2 linked regions of the Arabidopsis thaliana genome follow. The protein of the gene in region 1 interacts with the protein of each later gene in a pairwise test. Each region holds a gene or a part of one and is shown in the gene's direction. Other genes may lie near its edges.

Region 1 (4,557 bases):
GCAAACTCAACACCTTCCTTGACCACACTCAAAATCTCCGATATACATTCCTGAGAGCCCACCTGCAAGCTCCAAGCCCAATCTTAAAAAGAAACTATGGGTATCCAATTTTTTTTTTTTGTGTACTTTAATCTTGAGGTAGTAGTATTTTCGAGAATACTTTAGCACGTTACAAAGTTAGCAACGAATTTTCTTTTTCTAGATATGACTTATAAGAGCCAAACCTTTTTATGTTATAGAAATCTTTGTCACTTTGAGATACTTTTATTCAGGATTTAATAAAGAGTGTTGGATAAAGCACGTGGGACCTTTTGCTCTCTCGAGATTGGCTCTTCGAGTCAGGAAAAGTTAAGACTGTGAAGCAAACCCTATATATGATACTGTATACAATATATTTTTTGGATAAAGGATTGTGTAAATTAAATGATCAAACTATATACTTACTATTCTGGCCTTAGTGGTTATAAGATACTAATATTATACTGTAAATGATCAAAACAAGATACTATTGTCAGAATGCGAAAAAATAAAGCGAAGTCCAACTTAATAGTTTACGAACTTTTACTTCATATTATGAGTCGAATGAGAGTGAATACTGGAATTGGTGATGATGCAGAAAACCGGATTAGACGAAACAAAGAGAACATAATACAAATCATTGGTATGGAACTGACAAAACGTACGAAACAATCGATGTTAAATGGTTAGAATAAAATTTGGATGATAACCATAATAACTGCAGTGCATGTATAATCATTAAATTTTAGCTATTTTTAATACTTGGAATAATAGATGTTTACTATTTTTATCATATACCTAAAGAAGTTCTTGTAATTTGTACTTAGTACCTGATTTGTCGTTCTAATCCTAAAAAAAGATTTGGTCCTTTGTAGTTTGCTTCAAAGGCCCCGAATCTGCATTGATCATGGTCTGGCTCGGGGGTGTTAAGCACACTTTTAACTAGTGATTATATGTCTAATTGGGACATCAATATACCTCCATGCACCTAGTAATGTGACCATCCGTATAATATGTGTACTATCTCTTCTTCAGCTAAAGGTTAACGAGCATAATCTGGTTAAGCCCTATGTTTGGTTTGCATTATAACAATCTCTCTGAAATTTTGTAGTATTTTCATCAATTTAAATTAGTATATTTTCGACAATTTGAATTGTTCTTTGAGTCTGATCACAGTCAAGTACACGAACTATATGCTGATCTGATCGAATTCATTCTACTATATACACACACATACACAAACATTTTACAGTACACCACTAATACTATAATCCCAATAACAAGAAAACCTAAAATATAAGTACACATTAACAAAAGAAAACAGTTTGCAAGTTATTAAGTGGTTTTTGGATTTGGTTTATAGTTTTTAGATTTTTGCATTAATTATATATATATATATATATATATATATATATATATATATATATATATATATTTGAAACTAAATATGAAAAAGTTATAGCGTTAAAAAGTGAAAAACCAATGAAACATAGATTTTAGATTTCCTTTAAAAATCTAGATTCCTTATTTTTATAAGGAAAACCATTTCTCCCAATCTTAATTGGCTATAAAGTAGATTTTTGGAAAAAACTTAAGCCATAAACAATTTCAAAAAATCTATAACCATTTCAAAATCTTTAATCCTTTTTTTTTTTTGTCAAAACAAGTCTTTTATCCAAATGAAAAAGCACCCAAGAAAAAAAAAAAAAAAACTATCCAATAATTGAGTCAGCTCTCATAGGCTTAAACAATACTTTAAGGATCAACATTAAATAATTACCACACTTGAGGGGTAAAACTAAAAACGGTAAATAAAACACAGAAAAACGACAACGAGGGGCAAAATCGAAAATAAAGAGAAAATAGTGGGATAATAGAAGAAAGCATCCAATGAGAGTAGTGAAATCAGAGAAAGACCTTTACTCCTTTAGTCCAATACCATCCAATCAATCTTTTTCTTTTTTTTTATAAAAATCTCTCACTGAGTCTTTTTATTTAAATATTATAAAAAGGAGAGAGAAAAAAAGTTTGTTGGAGGATTCGTCTCTCTCTCTCTCTCTTTCTCTTTCTCTCATCTTCTTCTTATCTCCCTCCAAAGACGGCGACTGTATAATCTATCATTTCTTCACAGTAACGCTTTCATCGGAAGATCTCGCCGGAAAAAAACTTCTCTCTGAGATCAGATCTCTTACGATTCTCAGCTCAATCTTATCTTTTCCTTTGTTGTGCTGCTTTTCACTCTCTTCTGCGCGACGAATTTGGCCTTGTTTTTTGTTTGTTTGTCGTATCCGACGCGGAGGTATTGAGAAACCGTGGCTTAAGACGGAGGAAGAAGATGGAAGCTAACGGGATTGAGAACTTGACGAATCCGAATCAGGAAAGAGAGTTTATAAGGAGACATCATAAGCATGAGCTTGTGGATAATCAGTGTAGCTCTACGCTTGTTAAACATATCAACGCTCCTGTTCATATTGTAAGCTTCTCCCTTCTTCTTCTTCCTTCATGCGCTCTGATTTTCTCTGTTTAAGTTAATCGGTTCTTCTTATTGTTGATTCAATCCAGAATTTGAAATCTCTCTCTATTTTCATCGATTGTTGATCTTACTGATGAAGAATCGATTGGTTTCTAATTATTGAAAGCTTACATAGCATTTGTGTAATCCCAATCTGAGTTTGTTTGATCTGGTTTTGCTTTATTGGAAAAAAAAGCTCCCAAAAACGCTTATGGATTAGTTTGAATCTCTCTGGTGAATAGGTGTGGTCACTTGTGAGAAGATTTGATCAGCCACAGAAGTATAAGCCGTTTATCAGTAGATGTGTGGTGAAAGGAAACATGGAGATTGGTACAGTAAGAGAAGTTGATGTGAAATCTGGACTACCAGCAACTAGAAGCACTGAGAGATTGGAGTTACTTGATGACAATGAGCATATTCTCAGTATCAGAATCGTTGGTGGTGATCATAGACTTAAGGTAATCAATGAATCAAAAGGTTCGTTTTCTGTTTACAGTGAATCAAAGACTTATATGTTCTATATTGTTTTTGGATTTAGAACTATTCTTCAATCATCTCTCTTCACCCCGAGACTATAGAAGGAAGAATAGGAACACTTGTGATTGAGTCATTTGTGGTTGATGTACCAGAAGGAAACACAAAGGATGAGACTTGTTACTTTGTTGAAGCTTTAATCAAATGCAATCTTAAATCTTTAGCTGATATCTCTGAACGTCTTGCGGTTCAAGACACGACAGAATCGAGAGTCTAAAGATCAAAGGAGTAAGAAACTATTGAATCAGAGAGATTTTGGTTGCCATGGATGAAGCTCTCAAAGGGAAAAAGAGAGAGTGGGTGAGTTTCTTTGAGGATGGACAAGGCAAAAAAAGTATCATCATTTATCCAGTTACATAATAAGTTTCTCATTTGCTATTTTTGGGGTCATTTCACTTTCAAACCCTCTTTTTAATTTCATGTGTCTAATTTAATGAATGTGTTTTTGGTTTCTTCTCTATAGAACCAAAATATGATTTTGGAGTTTAGCTTTAGCAACTTGCAGGAATCTTTTTACAATTTGCAGAGAAGACATGTTAAAAGTGTGTGTGATCATGGGGTTCCACTCTCTTCTTCCTTTTTTAACACTTTTAGTTGCACCCATAAAGGCCACACACCGTCTTTCTTATATTTATTTTTTCTACTTTTAAAGATGAACCAATAGGGTTTGTGAGATGTGAAAAATCTCCACAAAGGACCATTAAGGAAAGAGATCTTTGTTGTTGTTTATAGATTTTGTCTTGACTTGTGATTGGGGAAACACACTTTAGCTCCATTAGCTGTAAAAAGTTTTGTATACTATTTTTACAATGCCAAAGTGTTTCTGTTTCTTTTTTCCTAAATTACAGTAGTGGATAAATATTCGAATCGGTCACATTGACAGGTGGTATCATTAGAATTGCTTCTATATGTTTTCTTTCAATTTTGTTCCAAACAATACATGTAATTTCATCAGAGGACCTTGTAAGCTGCAATAAGATTCATTGGCTTTCAAAATCACATCAGAGAATAAAGACAACAATTATTACTTTCTTTTCAATGTTGTTTTACATTTTTCTTCATAGAATTGAACAGAATGTCAAAAAGGGCAAAAGGTTCAAGGTCGAAGCGAAAACTAATGAGCTAATGAAATAAAAACTACAATAATTTTGTAACATGAGATCAATAATTTCATATGTTTTTCTTTTGGTTGTTGTTGTAGAAGCTATGGGAGATTTACTCTGTACAAAGCTTTGAATCTCCCTTTTTCACCCAAAGAAGTGTGTTTATGGTAATGAATGATGTGATTAGGCCAATACCAAGTCTCCTTCTTCTTGTTGTTGCTCTTCAAATTTCTCGCCTTCCTGCTTTGGAAGGAGAATACGCTTTATGTCCTCTGCGGTTAGCGTTTCATACTCTAGAAGTGCGTTTGCTAACGTGTGTAGCTGCTTCTCATGCTGGGGAAACACACACACACACACACACACACACACACACAAAATCGAAGTGAGATT
Region 2 (3,601 bases), 460 kb from region 1:
CAAACTCAAACATTCAACAACTAGTCGTCTAGTTAAAATCTACGGTCCGAAAGTTAATTTCAATCGAGGACCAGCGGTTGCGTTCAATCTATTCAACCATAAAGGCGAAAAAATCGAACCTTTTATCGTGCAGAAGTTAGCCGAATGCAGCAACATCTCACTCGGTAAAAGTTTCTTGAAGAACATCTTGTTCCAAGAAGACTACGAAGGCGTGAAAGATAGAGTTTTTGAGAAGAAAAGAAACAGAGACGTCGACGAACCAAGGATCTCTGTTCTCACTGCTGCGTTAGGGTTTCTTGCTAATTTCGAAGATGTTTATAAACTTTGGATATTCGTTGCTCGGTTTTTGGATTCAGAGTTTGTTGATAAAGAGAGTGTGAGATGTGGAGTTCATGTTTTTGAACATAAGAACCGTGAAGTAGTCTAGTTAACATATAGCCTAGTTTTGGCTCGGTTTGCTTTGGTTCACTTCTTACATCAGAACCGGTTCAAGTATCAATGAAAATTTTGATTTTTGTTCAGTACAAAGTCAGCGTCAACATTAGCGTCCAAGTAGCACCTCTATCTCCCACTAATTTTGATTTTGCTACTGATTCAAAAAAAAATAATTAACTTTCGAAAAAAGGTAGCTCATATATATTTATTTACAATTCGCTCATTCCTAGATGTCAAGTAGATATGAACGGGGCAAATGAATGCCCAATAACTAAAATAAACCCATATCAGCTATATATTTCTTCGGTTGTTAAAAATTTTGATTTTATAAAATTTATTGCACAAATGATTTTCTAGATGTTATTTTTATTTTTATTTTTAGTATGATAAATACTAAATTTCAAAATGCAATGATTGAAAATAATTAAACTTTTAATTTTATTAGCTCATAATTAAACTTAAAAATATTTAATATAAAAAATGTTAATGATTAGATAATGTTTTTTTTTTAATATGTGAAAAAATCCCAAACATCAATCTATTATAAAAATATGGAATAATACTTTTATTTAATCTATTTTTTTAGTAGTCAACATCAAAAGATTATTACAAATGACCAATGTTGATAATTTTAACTTATAAATATAGTATTAAATAATGAATAGTGAATTGTTTTCTTTTTGGCGGGTGAAACCTTATTTCCAAGCTTCATACTCTAGTCTTCGAGAGTCATGCTTAGTAATTGACATTTTTTGTTGCCATCATTTCTTATAAAGCTTACCCTAAGCTTGCAAGAATATTTACCGAGTAGTTTGGAATCTTGGTGTTGTAAATCATGCACTATTTGTTTTACTACGCAGTTCCAATCTTCTCGTGGGGACCAAAGTTTTTCAACCTTGTATACAACAAAATCAACAAGGGATTAGGTACACCAAATTGGTTTTTACGAAAACAGTAACATGCTATCAAAATAGAGACTAGTCGTTTTGGTGATAGAATTCAGACCAAGACAATAATGGTTTTACTTGTCAATAATACTCAGAAATGAACATAAGCTGCACTTGTCAATAGTACTCAGTTTTGAGATAGCTAAGTTTTGTATTGCCCTAGTTATGGCTCGGTTTTGTCCAATTCGGTTGGTTTGGTTCACTTCTTAAATGGAAACCGGTTCAACTGTACAACTATCAATAAAAAAAAAAAAATTAGCTCCACAACATGACTCTTGTGATGTGGTCGAGGCCAAGGCCCATTAGTTAGCTAAAACAGGCCCATATGAAGTATGTGATCTAGACCGTTGATTTGTAATGGGACTATATAAAAATAAAAACGATGATCTTGAGGGCCCCTTCTTCCATCTTTGTAGGGTTCTTCGTGCAGAGGATAAGGTTAGCTGTGGTTTTTTAATTTTATTTTTCTACCTTTGTAGGGTTTCCTCACTTTTTTTTATCCACTGTTCTTTAGTTTTCAATCTGTCAAATTCAAACAGATAACATTTTTCGTCAAAAGAATCAGTAAAAACTAAACATTTTGACTATATCCTACTTGAATCAATTCTTCGGCTGATTTTGAAGTTTTGTGACATTCAGATATTCTAGGGTTTTGTGGTAAATGGAATCGAATCACGAAGGCAACGCGATACAAGTGATTGACCAAGTAACAACCATGACCCATCTGTCTGACCCGAATCCGAAAACCAAACCGGGTATGATGCTCATGAAACAAGAAGACGGGTATTTGCAGCCGGTGAAGACTAAACCGGCTCCGAAGAGACCGACTTCTAAAGACCGTCACACGAAAGTAGAAGGACGAGGTCGGAGGATCCGAATGCCGGCGGGTTGCGCTGCTCGGGTCTTTCAATTGACCCGTGAACTTGGTCACAAATCCGACGGAGAAACGATACGGTGGTTATTGGAACGAGCTGAACCGGCGATAATTGAAGCAACCGGAACCGGAACTGTACCGGCTATTGCTGTATCGGTTAACGGAACTTTAAAAATCCCGACGAGCTCTCCAGTGTTGAATGACGGCGGCCGTGACGGTGACGGTGACCTAATAAAGAAACGGAGGAAGAGAAACTGTACGAGCGATTTCGTAGACGTTAATGACAGCTGTCATAGCTCCGTTACTTCTGGGTTAGCTCCGATAACGGCGTCAAACTACGGCGTTAATATCCTGAACGTTAATACACAGGGGTTTGTGCCGTTTTGGCCTATGGGTATGGGTACTGCGTTTGTTACTGGTGGGCCGGATCAAATGGGCCAAATGTGGGCTATTCCTACCGTTGCTACAGCTCCGTTTCTGAATGTTGGTGCTAGACCGGTGTCTAGTTATGTCTCAAACGCTTCAGACGCTGAGGCGGAGATGGAAACGAGCGGTGGCGGAACGACGCAACCGCTGAGGGATTTTTCGTTGGAGATTTATGATAAGAGAGAGCTTCAGTTTTTGGGTGGCTCAGGGAACTCATCTCCGTCTTCATGTCATGAGACTTAAGGAATTTTAACTCTTAGTTCTAGTTTCTTTTTAGTTTTTAGTAAGTTTGATTCCTGATTTAGGTTAAGTAAGATTTGTAAAAGAATTGGGAGCACAATTTCAATTTTATGTTTCTGTCAAACATTTTGGTAATTAATGGAACTATCCTATCATTTTTAAAAAATAAATCAAAATGAGATTAAAAATGAGTCTGCTAAAACGCCAGAGGTTGAGTCTGCTAAAGCTCTCGACACAATAGTAGAAGGAATAATGTATAGGCACGTTAAACCTAGATTCTCGTGGAAGCTACAAAGCTGGATCGGAGTTGGGATGGAGAAGAAGATGATAGAAGCTGGTGCCATTTTTGATCGAGTGTGTGGGAAATACATATCAGCCAGGAGAGAAGAGGTAAAAAGATCACAAGTGAATAATAATGATCATTTCATTAGAGATAGTCATGCAAATCTTTTGACATCTCACATAAAGCTTGATACAACCCAGTACCAGCTCTTGGATCCTATCAATGATAAATTCTTAAGAGACAATGTCTTTGCTTTACTTCTAGCTGGGAGAGATACCACTGCCTCTGCTCTCACTTGGTTCTTTTGGTTTTTGTCCGAAAACCCTCTAGTGGTGACCAAGATTCGCCAAGAGATTGACATGAATCTACCAAGAAGTTGTAGTGGCCAAGAGAGAC

Evidence for each region.
Region 2: the proteins of RCAR3 (region 1) and AT5G51910 interact in binary tests that used the Arabidopsis thaliana proteins (3 or more experiments, as listed by UniProt).

The regions. Positions count from the first base shown.
Region 1 is NC_003076.8:21,558,673-21,563,229, forward strand, and holds RCAR3 (regulatory components of ABA receptor 3), read left to right. Parts: upstream 1-1,928; 5' UTR 1,929-2,353; coding exon 2,354-2,491; intron 2,492-2,772; coding exon 2,773-2,988; coding exon of another isoform or gene 2,989-3,068; coding exon 3,069-3,281; 3' UTR 3,282-4,037; downstream 4,038-4,557. Other genes in the region: FTSH11 (FTSH protease 11), read right to left, coding at 4,351-4,500. UniProt on the Arabidopsis thaliana protein: Receptor for abscisic acid (ABA) required for ABA-mediated responses such as stomatal closure and germination inhibition.
Region 2 is NC_003076.8:21,094,028-21,097,628, reverse strand, and holds AT5G51910 (TCP family transcription factor), read left to right. Parts: upstream 1-1,737; 5' UTR 1,738-1,820; intron 1,821-1,926; exon of another isoform or gene 1,927-2,021; 5' UTR 2,022-2,043; coding exon 2,044-2,925; 3' UTR 2,926-3,063; downstream 3,064-3,601. Other genes in the region: AT5G51920 (Pyridoxal phosphate (PLP)-dependent transferases superfamily protein), read left to right, coding at 1-427; AT5G51900 (Cytochrome P450 family protein), read left to right, coding at 3,175-3,601.